Linked DNA regions of Lepisosteus oculatus. The protein of the gene in region 1 binds, or shares a complex with, the protein of each later gene. Links are inferred from orthologs where the notes say so. Each region holds a gene or a part of one and is shown on either strand. Other genes may lie near its edges.

Evidence for each region.
Region 2: polr3d (region 1) and polr3g share a complex: the UniProt entries of both Homo sapiens proteins name them as parts of the RNA polymerase III complex. The link is inferred for Lepisosteus oculatus from reciprocal best matches to the Homo sapiens genes POLR3D and POLR3G.

Annotation. Positions count from the first base shown.
Region 1 is NC_090697.1:62,943,110-62,950,121, forward strand, and holds the start of polr3d (DNA-directed RNA polymerase III subunit RPC4), read right to left. Parts: upstream 3,038-7,012; 5' UTR 2,931-3,037; intron 2,821-2,930; exon of another isoform or gene 2,620-2,820; intron 2,028-2,619; 5' UTR 2,010-2,027; coding exon 1,866-2,009; intron 788-1,865; coding exon 744-787; intron 1-743. UniProt on the Homo sapiens protein: DNA-dependent RNA polymerase catalyzes the transcription of DNA into RNA using the four ribonucleoside triphosphates as substrates.
Region 2 is NC_090698.1:72,665,360-72,673,240, reverse strand, and holds the start of polr3g (DNA-directed RNA polymerase III subunit RPC7), read right to left. Parts: upstream 3,102-7,881; 5' UTR 2,379-3,101; intron 2,263-2,378; coding exon of another isoform or gene 1,821-2,262; exon of another isoform or gene 1,461-1,820; intron 1,030-1,460; exon of another isoform or gene 1-1,029. Other genes in the region: acyl-coenzyme A thioesterase MBLAC2, read left to right, coding at 1,821-2,262, 5,524-5,909. UniProt on the Homo sapiens protein: DNA-dependent RNA polymerase catalyzes the transcription of DNA into RNA using the four ribonucleoside triphosphates as substrates.

The DNA.
Region 1 (7,012 bases):
ACACTTCCCAACACACAGTAAAGAAAGGATTTTCCTCCCTTGTTAATAGTACCAATCTCCTCCACTGTCTAGGCCTAGGCAGTCCCTCCAAGCAGCAAGAGAGAAGGGAGATGGATGTGACAGACCGAGGGGTAAAAGGAACTTGTGGGTTTGTATCTCAGAAGCTCTGCCGTCTGTCCTCCAGACAGCAGATATGACCAACCCTGGAAGCCTTTGCTTCCTGCTTTTAAACTGTTGTATGACCACCTCTCTTACAACAACTGTTCAGGTGACTGAGGACAGCAGCTCTGTCCCCCCAGTTTATTGGGTCATGTAGTCCAGATAAAGGCTGCCATCTTGTCTGAACTTCCTGCCCTCTCACGCCCTGCATAATTCATAAGTCCAGCCTCGCAAACAATGCTATTTTGGTACTGGCTCTGTTTTGTGGTTGTCATTGTAAAATCACAGGCTTTTGTGGATAGATAGACAACATGCACATAGACACTGGATTCACTCTAACCAAAAATGTTAAATTATGCTTGCAAATGCAAGTTTGCTACTAGACTTGAGTCTTTCTTCATGTTTTGCTAAGCTTTTTAGATTGAAAAAAAAATGTAATACAGATGAAGTACTTAAAATATACAACAAACCAGTGAAGGCTGATCTGACTATAATATTTTTTTTTTCCATTTAGGCCTAGTTCTCATTATGAACTCTGTGGAAGAGACCTAGTGGTACTTGTCTATAAAAGATAATTTACTTACTCTTCCTTGGCTTTGCGGCTGATGATATTGGGGGTGAAAGTTTTCTGTAAGATACAGAAAAAAAGACACTGATTGGGCCTGTGACATCTGAGATTTATGCCATCTAAAACTCATCCAACAGCAACCAAATAAAAATGGGACAAATAACAAAAGTCAAAAGTCTGAATGCTTGAAAGTTTAGAAATTTCTTTAGCATTCCTGGTTTTCCGGATTCTTAGGCAACAGATAGTACATGTGACACTAAAATTGCCATGCAGCATTTTTATAACAGGTAAAATATATACTATGAATGTTCAGGTATTATGCGAGATCAACACTAAATTACCAGTCACAGTCACCTATTAGTAGACTAATATGTAGACCTAGATCTAGTTGACTTTATGTTCTCAACCTTCTTTACCAGAAGGACATGAAACAGATTTTTAAACTCATCAGAAAAACAGTTTAATAATAATAATAATAATAATAATAATAATAATAATAATAATAATAATGTTTCTTTATTAGCCCTATACAATTTCTTGCATTAGGAATTCGTCTTTTCGTATACCCCAGCTTTTCTCCATGGAGACACAGACACACAGACAGGGAGTGAAGCTTGGGGTCAGAGCGCAGGGTCAGCCATTGTACGGCACCCCTGGAGCAGTTAGGGTTAAGGGCCTTCCTCAGGGGCCCAACGGAGTAGGATTCCTCTGCCAGCCGCGGGATTTGAACCGGCAACCTTACAGTCACAGGCGCAGATCCTTAATGTTCCTGCTTTGCCCCCTCACCCCCAGATGCCAAGTGAAGCATAACAGGACACCTCACAATTTTTTTAGCGTCAAAAATATACTGGTCGGAGAAGTGCAAGACACTGCATATGACAGGCTTACCCCAAAGATGCCTTCAGCTATTTATTCAGAAAACTGTTGCAAAGCAACTGGAATATTTCACTTGCTAAAATGTTGCAAGAAATATTAAAGTTAGTATTTTGATTAGCACAGCTCCACTCGATTCTACTGCACCTACATTAACACATCCAAGAACTTCATCAGTCCAGATGGCACTGCACCTCATAAAATCTGTCTCTGACCAATCTGCTATGTAATTGGGGAGCTGCATGCTCTGTCTATTCACTCCTACCTTCTTCACACCCCCCAGGGTGAGGTCGCGAGAACGCATGGAGGGCAGGCGTCCCGTCACAACAGGGGCAGGGAGTCTCCTTCCGGGCAGCGCAGGCCGAGACACCCCTGGGGGCAAGGGATCCCCACCACAAGGGTCTGACATCGCTGCACAATCACACCACTGCAGCAGAGAAAAGATGGAGAATAAGAGCGACTGAGAAACAGGCGTGAGGAACTCCTTACTAACAATTCACTTTGCCACAATGGCACCATTAAAAGAAATGACCAGTCGCTGAGAAAAAGGGGCTCATGTGATGCGCATCCTCAAACACATCAGTGTGATCCACGTAGCACAAATTCTAATTTGTACTTAATCTTTAGAAAAATATTTATGATGAAATTTATAGTCAGCCACTAACAGGAGAGGTCTGTAACTCTAGTTCTGAAAAGCAACAAGGATAATCGATTGGGCAACTGTTAAAAATGAGGCAACTGACCGAAGACGTGATCTTTTAGTTAAAGTGAAACTTTCACTGAGACTATTCTCCTGGCCTCGTCCTGTCCAGGACTAGAAAACCTTACAGTACCATACACTAACTTCACTCCGCTCTCTTCTGCGGAGCTCTTCGGCCAACGAAAGAGTACTACACGAACAGCAAATAACGTTGTGATGAAAATTTTAAAATGAATTCGCTTTTCGCCATCTACTTGAACTCGCTCGATCCTGTTACATATACAACAAGCTGGCTACACATGTAAATCACTTCATTTACCTGAACTGGAAAGAAAACGATAAAGACTTCTCTTCCAAATGTATTTCAGATACAAAACCAGTACAAATGATACTGAAAATAAATCGTCACCAGCTGAAATGCACTATTTTTGTCGGGTTTTTTTTACAATCTGAGTCACACATACACCTAACTCATGCAAAAACCACCATGACAGACTGATGTTGGACTTTTCCCTTTGAACTTTCACCTTGCTCGCCTGTGCTAGCCACCATGTTTGTAAGGGCAATGTTGTTTCTAGAATAGTTTTGTTCAAATTACACTACCGTTCCGCTGCTGAGATAAGGTTGTACCTTTTGAAGTTAAAATTCTCAGCAATTTCGTCACTAGATCACACAGGTTGCTCAGGTTGTGTATCTCATCAGAAAAAAATTGAGCAGCCATGTCGGCAAACCAAAAGAAGAGTTGTTCTTTCAATGAAGTGGTATGCAAAATTTCCTCACTCTTGTATGGTGCTGCCACCTAATGTGGGGATGTGTGAATCGCCTTAAGGTCAAGTAAAGTTTCCTATGAAATACGTTTGATACTGTGTAGGAGATCTATATTCCTATGTTTACGATGTGTCCTACTATATTGTTTTGCATTATACAACGACAAATGTACACTTCTACCTTGTAATATTTATGACATTGTAATGTTTATTATATATGCACCTCTTATATATTTGTTGTAACACATATGGCGTGTACCACTCTCTAGAAAATTTATATAGCACCTTGCCAGCAATGAAGCCAAATTCTCTTTAAAGACTATTCAAGGTTTTGTGTAGACCACTCTGATTAATGTCAGCAAGCTGACACACTTATTGTAGTGCACAACAGACCAATCGATGCAGAGGACCAAGAGTGAAGGTCCAGACAGGAGTATCTAGTCACATCTATTATTATTATTATTATTATTATTATTATTATTATTATTATTATTATTATTATTACTTCAGAACTCTGTCTGACAGCAATCTAACTGATTAAGTCGTGGGACCCCACTTTCCTACTGCGTTTCCTACAGGTACATCCTGTCTTGACAACATTCCAACAGGACAATGTATGTCCTCAAACTACTCATATAACAATGGCTTTCTGGCAAGGTGAAAATGTGACTGTAACGCCTGGGATTCCCACACTAGATGTGAACCTCATTGAACGTTTGTGCCCAGTTGAACAGAGACAGTTATAGATGATTGTTGAACTGGAGTTCAGAGACCAGTGAACAGCCATGTGGCTTAAAGGATCTGCAAGAGGGATTGGCACAGAATCCCACAAGGCCATAACTGCAGCCTTGTGATTTTGCTTTGCTCTGCAAAGCATGCGTCACAGAATGTCAGCTTGTATGGTCTGTGGCCACACACACTACTAGCCTGTGAGTTTTGCAGTACAACCCACTCTTGGTAGCAAATGATCATCAGAATAATTAATTTACCTATGTTTCTGGAAAAAAAAGTCAGCACATTTAAAAACTATGCAAATTTGTTGTAGTTATATGTGATAACTTCATTTTCATTGTCTTTATATTTATTTTCAGTGTGAATCTTCCATTAGTGCTCTTTTTTGTCTTTCACTCATTTCCTGATTTTTAACTATTTTTTTAAAAAACAGTCTTAGTGGATTTCCTTCAATTAACAGATTACTGAGTCTTAATTTAATGAAACCTACTATCATTGATAAAATGTAGGCAAATTGTTGATAATAGTATGTAATGAATGCAGAGGATGACAGAAGAGGATTCAACTATTATTACATTATAGTAATATGTTGTCTACTGTCTTTCTTGTGTTATTTACAAACATAAACTATAAAGAATAAAATATAATGAAAAGTCAGAATTGCAATACCTAAATAATCAGGATTTACACACTTTGGCCCTCAATGATAATCTGCATCAAGGCTACAGTATGTTTTTGCAATCTAACACTCCACATTATCTTGATACCCATATTAAGGTGCCTATACACTCGTTATGTAATTTTCTAGGCATATATTATTATGATGATGATGCAAAACAAAGCCCTGCAGGTTTAAATTATGACACAGAAAGCTATTCTGTTAATATTCTACTACTGAGACATCATAATTGTATATCATAATTATCTTTCAAATGTTCGTATTTGTGCTTTGCAATGCGTAGAGCGTATTGTAGCCACCACACATTTAACCACAATAAGACTAATACCGCATTGCTTGCTAAAGACCTGTTCGCCTTACTCAGGAATCAGTAATTTAATAGACATACTGTACAGTAATTGTAGGCACAAGTATTTGCGAATTTCAACATGTTAGAAACTCAGACGCTGCCTTATTTCTATGACAAGAACAGGGCATTTTGACTGTTATCCGTGGTTTATCGTTCAGCTATTCATCGTTTGTCTTTTTAGCCCAACAACAAGCTCCAATGTCTAATTTAGCCACTTGTTTTATAATGTTCTAGGCGGATTAATTTCGGAGCTGCCGCAGTGCTAATAGCTGACGATCCCTGTCGGTCCCAATCTGCACCACGGGTACAGACTGCAGACAAATTCGAACTGACTGAGTCCAAGGATCTCTCGCCCCAGCTTCGCCCTTGCCTTCCTGTCACGGCCGTTCAAAGACAGATGGTTTAATTTGCCTTTGATGAGTTCGGTGTACCGCGGCCGGCAGGGGAGAGATGAGACATTGCCGAGGTTCAGCGATGTTATCACTTGCGGCTGGATGGTTATGCTGAACTACGCTGTCAATAACGTGAGCACGATTGCCTATACGCTCTCTTGAGCACATCGCTGATAAACTGTTATCGTAGCGAATTTTTATGGTAAAGTTTACACAGTGACTCCAAACTACACCCTAGATTAATCGCTATTCCCCCTGCATAGACGTGCATATTGCATTACAATCAGAAACAGTCTATGGTCAATAATAATAATAATAATAATAATAATAATAATAATAATAATAATAATAATAATAATAATACAAAACAATTCTGATAATACCATTAGAAGAACCATTATTGCTATAAAAAGATTTTCTCAGAAAACTGTCTTAAACCATTTTGAGTGGGCTGTCAAATCGCCGTGCGTTAATTTGAAGTTATTTGTAGTTTGAGTAGTTCTCCAATCACTTACATTCAGTCTTTCTCAAAGCACTTGTACTTGGTTTTCTTATGACACGTAACCTGTACTCTGTTGGTTGTTTGATCTTTTGCTGTTGGAGATGTAGTAGGGAATGATGTTATCTGAAAGGAGCTGAATTACGGCCTCAGAGCCCCAGTACATGGGATTTTCCCCAATTTGGATATACTTTGAACAGGAAAAGAAGGCAGAGAAGAGGGACACAGATAAATACTTCATAGAAAAACACCTTACAGCAACACACATATTGTATCCAATGCAATACTGGCCTTAACTGTAGCTGAAACTAAGTTAACTGTATGGATTTTGAGTTTCCTATAGAGATCTCCATATGGTGTAGCATCTGGTTAGCCTCTCAGGACTCTGGCAGTGGAGCCTCTAGCCTGGACTGAATTTGATTCAGGCTGGGTCCACATTTATGTAAAAAAAAATGGGGTACCTGTTATTCCTGCCCACCACTGATATAGATTATCTTTCAAATGCTGATAAGATGGCAGTTTTGGACAATAAGTACAAATTGCATAATAGTGTTTGTTATTTTGTTACCTCTGTGTTATAAACTGTTATAAGGTTTATCTGATACTGTAAATATGAGCACAGGAGAGAGCTCATTGGCTCATTGGCCAGGGCACTGTGAGTGGGGGTGGTGGTGGTGGGGGGGGGGCATTGATAGAGGTTAGGGGAGCTGTTCTCTTGATTGTGTGCTTGTATGTGCGTGTGTACATGTTTATAGCAGTGAGATTGGTGCAAATTTGGGCAATGCAGCTATGCAGCACTGAAGCACGCAGTGTTTTGACAGAGCTGCTGGGCAACTGAGAAGGATAGTGAAATAGAGAGAGAGAAATACAAGGCTCGCTTCACTTTGTAATCAGTGTTCCTGAGGGATCCATCATCCACTACAGACGACGAAAAGAATTCACTGCGGTCTCTCTCAAATCAGATCTGAAGAGTGGTTTTATTTCAGATCAGGGCTGACCACATAATCTTTGCTGCACGAAGGTAAGGAATTAACAGTCCCCCATCCTTCTGGCACTGATCTCATCCAAGGGTAACTTTCCATTTACAACATCAAGTTTGTGTAAGGTTAATTAGTTGGGCTTGAGTAGCTAATGTGAAAGTTAGTGTGCTTGTTTGAGTAATACAGAGTGTTAGGTAGCAGGATGTTTTGTAGTGGATGTCATACGCAATGTATTTCAGGAGCTAAATGTAAAAAAAAACTGGACTGCAGTATGTTCAGTAGCTCTGAGAGCATTCTGTGGTACAGTGAGCTCA
Region 2 (7,881 bases), on another chromosome or scaffold:
TTTTTAAGTGTACGTGCAGAGAGCACTCGTGCTGGAGCATGCAGGTAAGAAAATAAGACGGGTTACAGCCTGGAGGAGGCGACTCGGCCTTTCTGATGACAAGCTCGGTTGCTCGTAAGTAATTGATACAAAGGTCCACCCTTTTCGCGAAGGAAGTCAGGTTGTCGGCTCTGGCAACATGACTGGGCGGCTTATTCCAGACCCCACAGCCCTTTCTGTAAATATTCCCCCCTGTAATTAGATTTAAATCCCCCTCCCATAGACGCACTTAATTTGCACTGGTGTTTTGCTGTTGATTTTGATCAATGGTCCCCGTCTTTGTCAGTGCATCGGGGAATTGTGAATACTGGAATCAAGTTCTCAATACTAGGTGGGTCGAATAGCCTCCTGCTTTGAACGTTTCTCTGTTCAAGATTAAAACGGATCCTTTCGTATAGCCTCTCGGGGCAGGTAAATAAATGTAATACCATGGCAGTGCAGCTACAGTAGCAGAAGCTGGACAAGCAATGCTGGAGTCAGGCAAAGAAATAAAACGGTAGACCTAAATCAGTATACAGAGTGTGAATACCAGGGTGTCACGTAAACGCCCCATAGGTAAGTTGTATTCATAGTAAGGGCAATTAGCACGTTACTTTACCAGTCTGAGGATGAAAAAAGTCAGATTTTGCCAGTGTATTGAAACACATAGCTGAGAGGCCACAGGTGCCTTGTGAAGAGATTCCTTAGTACTGCGTTTCCCTTGCTCGGCAGAATTTAAAGAGATTAACTTTTGTTAATTCGGAGACGGGTGATAAACACTTCTCTGTATGAAAACCTACCCAGATTAGTGAACTAAAACTAACGAATTAGTCATAATTAATACGGTAAAACATTTTTCACCTAGAAATCTACTTGAAACTAAGGGGAAAAAAACACCGGCGTGACATAAACACTTCAGATAATAAACCACGCGTTTAAAGAACGTGAAGAAAATAGCCTTAAAACATTGCGAAACCATACAATGCATCTGCAACATAATTTAATATTGTTTTTAAGCATGGCCCCGTAATAATAATAATAATAATAATAATAATAATAATAATAATAATAATAATAATATTTTTAGCAGGTTCACAATGTGTCGTGGAGCTCAGAAGCCTGTTTTTTCTACGTTATATTCGGTATTCTGGAGCGACCCACCTCCCTTTCAAATACAATCAGCAGCTTTTACAGGGTCTTTGATAGGAAATGAGCGGGTCTTCACTATAACTCAATTTATTAACATTTCATTTTCATTGCCCTCTGACTACAGGACATATATTCTCCTTATCGGTCATATGCCATTATATGCTGTGTATTACTACTACATGTCTTCTGGAAAGAATGATATTATCGGGCTTCTCGTTCACACCGACTAGAAACAAAAGCGCAACTATATTCCCGTCTGTCAGGCGCTTCAGAGGTCCTGAAAGTAGGAAACCTCCGCAAAGCCAACACCGAGGAGGCGGGATCCCGGCTGGTTTTGGTTCAGGGACAGCAGTCCGCACCGAGCAGGAGAGGGCTGCGCCTTTAAGCCGCCGGGTGTGGCCGGAGCGTGTCGGAGGGGCGCAGTCGCAGGTCCGAGCCAATCACGAGCCCCTCGGACCTTGTTTATCCACTCAGCTGCTTTTTCTCCCTGCAGGCTGAGCGCCTGTCGCGGTCTCCTCCTGTTCTGCACAAGCCAACCCTGGTTTGCATTGCGCCTCCTCACCGGACCGGACCGAGTCTGGATTCGGGGCTCCACGTCCCTGACAGCTCGGTGTCTTTATTTTATTACGCGTGGGTGGGAGGCGGGTGTCGGGATGTCTGCGACGGAGTGGTACGCTCACAAGTGCCTGGGCGACGGCGTGTTTTGGATCCAGGAGAGGTTCTACGAGTCGGGCAACAGAGCGAACATCTGGCTGGTCCGCGGGTCGCACCAGGACGTGGTGATCGACGCCGGCCTGGGCCTCAGGAGCCTGCCGGACTACCTGCGCGCCAAGGGGCTGCTGGGCGAGGAGTCCGGCCGGAAGAACCCCCCGCTGGCGATCGGGACCCACGTCCACTTTGACCACTCGGGCGGGCTGCACCAGTTTCGCCAGGTGGGGGTTCACAGAGCCGAGGCCGACGCGCTCGCCACGGGGGATAACTTTGAGATGGTGACCTGGCTGTCGGACGGCGAGATCGCCCGGGCTCCGACACCCGGCTGGCGGGCCAGCGAGTTCAGAGTGCAGGCTGTGCGACCCACTCGCGTACTGCAAGAAGGTGAATATCTCTAGCACATATAGGCATGCACCAGAGCCGCTTGTGCGTGAAAGGGACGGCGACGGTGCGGTGCGTGGTCATATTGCGCGTTATGATAAGGTAAACTAATGCCTTACCGTTCCGGACACCGGTTTTCAACAAGTGGCGAAAAATACCCGTGGCATCTGCTTAATTAACAGCAGAGTTACACAGAGGCCGTCTCGCATTAGCAGGGCTAATCTGTCGCCCTGCTGGAGGTACGTTCAGCGTCTCTCGGCCCGACGGAGTGAGCTTTAAAGACGCCATACGGCGAGGAAGGTGGGGGAGGGCGCAGGCTGCGCTCTCGTTTTTCCGGTGTCGCATCGAGAAGACGAGCTTGAGTATTATCAAAAACTAAACATAGGTTTCCACAGACGTGCGGCGTTATATCTCTAATAAACTATTTCATTAACGTTGTTGCTTGGGGGTATTTTTTGTAAACGGAAAAGATATCCAGAACACAATCTTGCGCTCGGTGTATTTATGCGATCTGTGCCTTTCCGATTGATTTGGACGTTTAGGGCTCATAGCCAATGAAGCAAATAAAAGCATTGGTACCGGGTCGAAGTACTCCTGTACCACACACTGCTATTCTAGACGAGCAATGAGAAAATTGCGTTAAGGAGCGTAATCGGTCCCAAATCCGATGAACTGCATCTCTACAGATTCATCCGCCTCCTTGATTCGTTACAAGAAGGATGACAGACTGCCTGCACTATAGTCACAATCTTCCACCCCCCTGAAGACACCAGAGAGGGAATAATACTGTATCTCCAACTAGCAGCGCTCGGGGGGTTGAAACGGCCTCTTCGCTCTGCTGCTGGTTCCGCGCAACACTGTAGCCCAAAAGTTTGTCAAAGCACGGCGGTGCAGAAAAAAACACGTTCCCAATTAAATATCCTAGACTCTCTGAGAGAACTATATCTCTGGGGTTACGGGGAGATACTACTGGAATAACTGCACGTCTGCCTTTATTATTCCTAACCAGGAGCTGGTTATTGCGCAGTGAACAGGTGATCGCGCCGTGGCAGTGGGGTGTTTTGGGGGGTGTCCCGGCGGGACTGCGCAAGTTCTGTGGCGTCCCTCGTCCGGGCAGACCGGGACAGGCGATGTCGGGCCGCTGTGGATCGATTTCAGCCAGTTCCGGTAACAGAGTAACTGGACCTGGGAGACTCTGGCCTGATATTTTCGCACATGACCTTCACAGCAGCGCTTTTGTTCTGTCCTCTCACTGATACTTCAGTGATCCCACTGTTGGCACAGTACGATTCGGCACAGCTCTTCTCACACCCAGCTGCAGGACACCGACGTTCCTGCTGAAAGAGACAAATCTGCAAGCGCTGATATTTCTGATATATATCAGAAATTATTTCTGGTATATGGGGAGCCTACATGAGTTTATTTCACTTACAACGGGAAACGTACAAAATGACGAGAGTCATTGTCAAAACCAGTACAGTTTGCAATGTGACCATGGGTTTGTATAGAAGTGGCATTTTTATAAAGCTTTTGGGAGATACACGAAAGAATGCACTAACCTTTACACATATTCAGACGTTAGACTTGAGGTCAGTCTCTCATGCCTTGACCATTCTGCCCTTCTATTATAAGCAGAAAACTAGTGAAAGACTTGGACACTTTGAAAATACTCTCAGCAGGGTTCAATCTGAGATGTCTACTACCTTGCAACCCACATACTGTCTTCAGAAATACATTAATTCATTAATTTCACATGCAGTGTTTAAAAATCCTCAAAAACGAAATCAAAGTGGACAAGAAGGCAGTAATTAGGATTTTAAGAAAATGAACTGGAAGTGAAAATTAAGTTTGCATGCAAGTAGCTGGTAAAATAACAACTAGTAAAATGGAAATCCTTTACTGTGGATAGTAAGCTGTTCTTCCTGTACCTTATATTCACAACATGAGAGAGTGTGAATGAGGAAAGTGCCCAGCTGTGATACCGTGACATCAGTATTGCACATCTTCAAAGCAGCAGTTGCTGTAAAAGTCTTTTCTCTTAATGAACTAACACATCTGAAATACGTGACTTGGCTGGGACCCACTCGGAATAGCTTCTCCTGTAGAAAGACAGACAGAGCCTACGGCTGCTCTACTAGATTGTGGAACCTGAGATGTGGAAAAAATATCCCTGCTTTAGATGGAAAGGAAAAGTGACATCATGTTTTATTGACACTAATAGGGAAAACTGAGGGATATTGATTATCCATAGAATAACCATCCGTAGTTCCTAGCCTTAAGCAGCCTCCATTTTCCCTGAGATGACTCAAACTTTCCCAGGGATTTTCTTCCAGCGTGTCCGTGAGAAGTTTCACAGCCCACCAGTAATATTAAAGGGGGACTGTAACATTATTTTCATATTTCGGGGTCAGCATTGATGTACACAGTAACTGGTAAAACCTCCAATTGACATCACAAAATACATGAAATTTCCAGGTATGTGCAGTGCCCTGTCCTGCCATTCACAACGAGGCAACAAAACTTGTGGTGAGATGATGTGGCCCCATTACGTTGTAAATAAGCCGGCTTGTGCATACAGCTCTTTTCATCCGATAGAAATATTGTCTCAACTTCGAGACAGTTTTGCAGACAAATACTGCTTGTTAGCTCTGCATGGGGATCACGCTGGAATAATTCTGCGGTGAAATGTCGGCTGCGCTACCTGTACTTATTCGCTCGTACATCGCATTGCATTGGTCAGGGCAGGAACTAGTGAGCAGGAAGGGCCGGTTCACGTTGCAATTCTTGGGGACTCGAATAAGTTCCCAGGGGTCTGCCACAACACGGCGACTCCGAATGCACGGTTTTGTGCTTACTTTGAAATTTGTGAGTTTTCTTCTGTACTGTCGATTGATTTAGTTTGTTACAGGTAGGTAGGTCCTTTTACAGGCCATAAAGGCCCATTGGGGATAGGGGGGCAAGGGCCACCATTTTTCTTGACCATCCGACACTGGAGGTGATGTGGTCAGCATCACGCTCCGGCTGACCGATTTCCCCCGGAAGGATTAACCCCGGTACTCGCAGGTTGAGCGGAGCTGGGAGCCGTCTGGAAGGAATTAGGGCAAGCTACATCGCTTAACCCTACCTGGGATTGAACCCGGGACCTTCCGGTCAGGAGCTAGACGCCCTTGCCGTCTGCGCTACCACGGCTCCGAGTTGTTCTAGAGGTCTGAGAAAGTGGGACTGCAGTTCTCCTTGAAGAAGGTGCTCTTGCTGTTTCCTCAGGAGACGTCATTAACCTGGGCGACAGGCAGCTGTCGGTGCTGCACATGCCCGGCCACTCCAGAGGCAGCATCTGCCTGCACGACAGGGACCGCAAGATGCTCTTCAGCGGGGACGTGGTGTACGACGGCTCCATGATCGACTGGCTGCCGTACAGCAGGGTCAGCGACTACGTCTCCAGCTGCGAGCGGCTGGTCGAGCTGGCGGACGGGGGCCACGTGGAGCAGGTGCTGCCTGGCCACTTCAACACCTTTGGGGCCGAGCGGCTGTACCGCATCGCCTCCAGCTACATCGCCAGCGCGGGAGGGTGCCACCGGTTTTCCATGTGTGCCCTGAAGTCCGTCGCAAGCCTCGTTCTCCGTGCCTGCAATTCTAGACACGGGTGTTGACTGGGAAAGGCAAACGGCTGCTTTATACGTTTACAGTATTTTGTTTATGCTAACTGTCTCAATTGATGAAATGTGTTCGTAAAATTTAGCCCAGTACTGCAGTTGCACTAATTTTGACTTTGAAATGGTAATTATTGCACTAGTTTTGATTCTTAAATGTGTGCGTGTTGCAAATGCAATGATTTGGGTTTGCACATGGATGAGTGTATAGCTTTAAGCCTCGAGGTACAAAGAAACATACTTGAAGCACGTTTGCATTTTTTTCTGTAGCTTTCCAAAGCATGAAACGAGGAGTGGCGGAGCACATATCATTTGCTGGGAATTTCGTCTTCACGTGAGACATGGAGAAGCAAGTTTTTATTTTGGCTGATGCTGGTTTGCTGTTGTGGAAGATGGAATGATCTCACTGATGCGTCCATCATCTGGTCTCCGTGGCCGCTGTGTGTCCAGAGCTCCGTGACGCTGGACAGGACCCTGGTGTGCCTCTGGGCTCATGTTCATACACATGGGGCAGTTTAGAGATGATAATTTACCTGGGCAGCATGTTTACTGGGGTGGAGAGGAAAGTGTTCAGAGAACACGACAACAGGCCCCACAGGTGGACTGTTCACTCACACAAAGCCAGATTTGAACCCAGATCCTTGGAGCTGTGAAGTGAGGGCACAGTCCACTGCTCCAGCATGCTGCCACTCATACCACAGTATCATAAGCAAAGACAAGGACTTTTTTAAAGCACTTGTAGGCTTTTGACTGGCTTAGTGGCAATTCAGGGTGGTTTACCAACCCAATTTTATTCAGTTAAGAATGATTCTTTCAGATTCTTTCTGTTTTGTATCTCTGTGCAATCTTGATGCTGAGTTTCAAATTTTGAGTGTTTAACTTCAACTTAACTTGTGTTTCCCTGGATGACGCGAGAAGGCAGGTGGTCATAATTGCTAGAAAACCTGTCCTGTGCTGTGATGGGGGTAAACTTGGACACTTGGACACCTGACCCCTGAGCTTACTTTTGCCCTTTTTCCACTTAAAGTAGAGCTTCACCCCTCTTGTTTTTGAATGTAGGTTAGTTAAAGGGAATTTTTAGTTCTTCTCATAAGAAGGCACTGATTTTTAGTAGATGACTTTAAAACATTAAAACAGTATTTCTAACCATTCCAAAGAATCCCACAGTACTTTACTAATGAGAGAATTGACTTAAGGAGGACATGTTGTGTAAACGCAGCGTGGAGTTTAGGAAGGACTCCTTCTCTCAAGCAGAGCTATGGGATCTGTAGTGACTGTGTAGTCTGAACGTCAGTTTAATTGTTTAATTCAAACACCATCTCCTATAGCACGGTGTCCCCGCAAACTGAGGAACCGGTTTGAGAATTCAGGTCCAGAGGAATCGGCACCACCTACTGGTCTTCTAACATCTCTTAGAGCAGCTGTTTTTCTTTTAGAGGGCATGCCCATACTGACCTGGCCCAGGCTCACTTAGCTTCTGAGATGTGTCAAGAACACTGTCACACACTTAATTATACAGCAGAGGACAGTTTGAGCATTGCAATATTTGTTTTTTCAGATCTGGAATTCAGTAACATGCAAAGATCATGCATGTTTGTGAGCATTAGTTGCAAAATCACATTTATTCTTACTGGCCACCTTGTTTTTGTGCTGACACTTCTCTCAACAATCGTCTGAATTTAACTTTCTGAGTCACCATCTTTGTGTTACGAAAATACCTTTCTTGAGCTTTGACCAAAGCCAGTTTTTATGCGGACTTCTAAATATACTTACATGCATTGTGGCCAGTTGAGAGGTTCAGCTGGTAAAGGCTCTTGCCCTAGGGCAGGTGCTGCTCTTTGAACACGGGTTCAAGCCCGACAGAGTTTTGGCACACTACTGGCTCTGCTGAGCACCACCAAGGGGAGGGTGGGGCTACTTGGCCAGGGCACTTTTGGCTCTTGGCGACCTATGTGGCCTTCTGGGTTCGTAC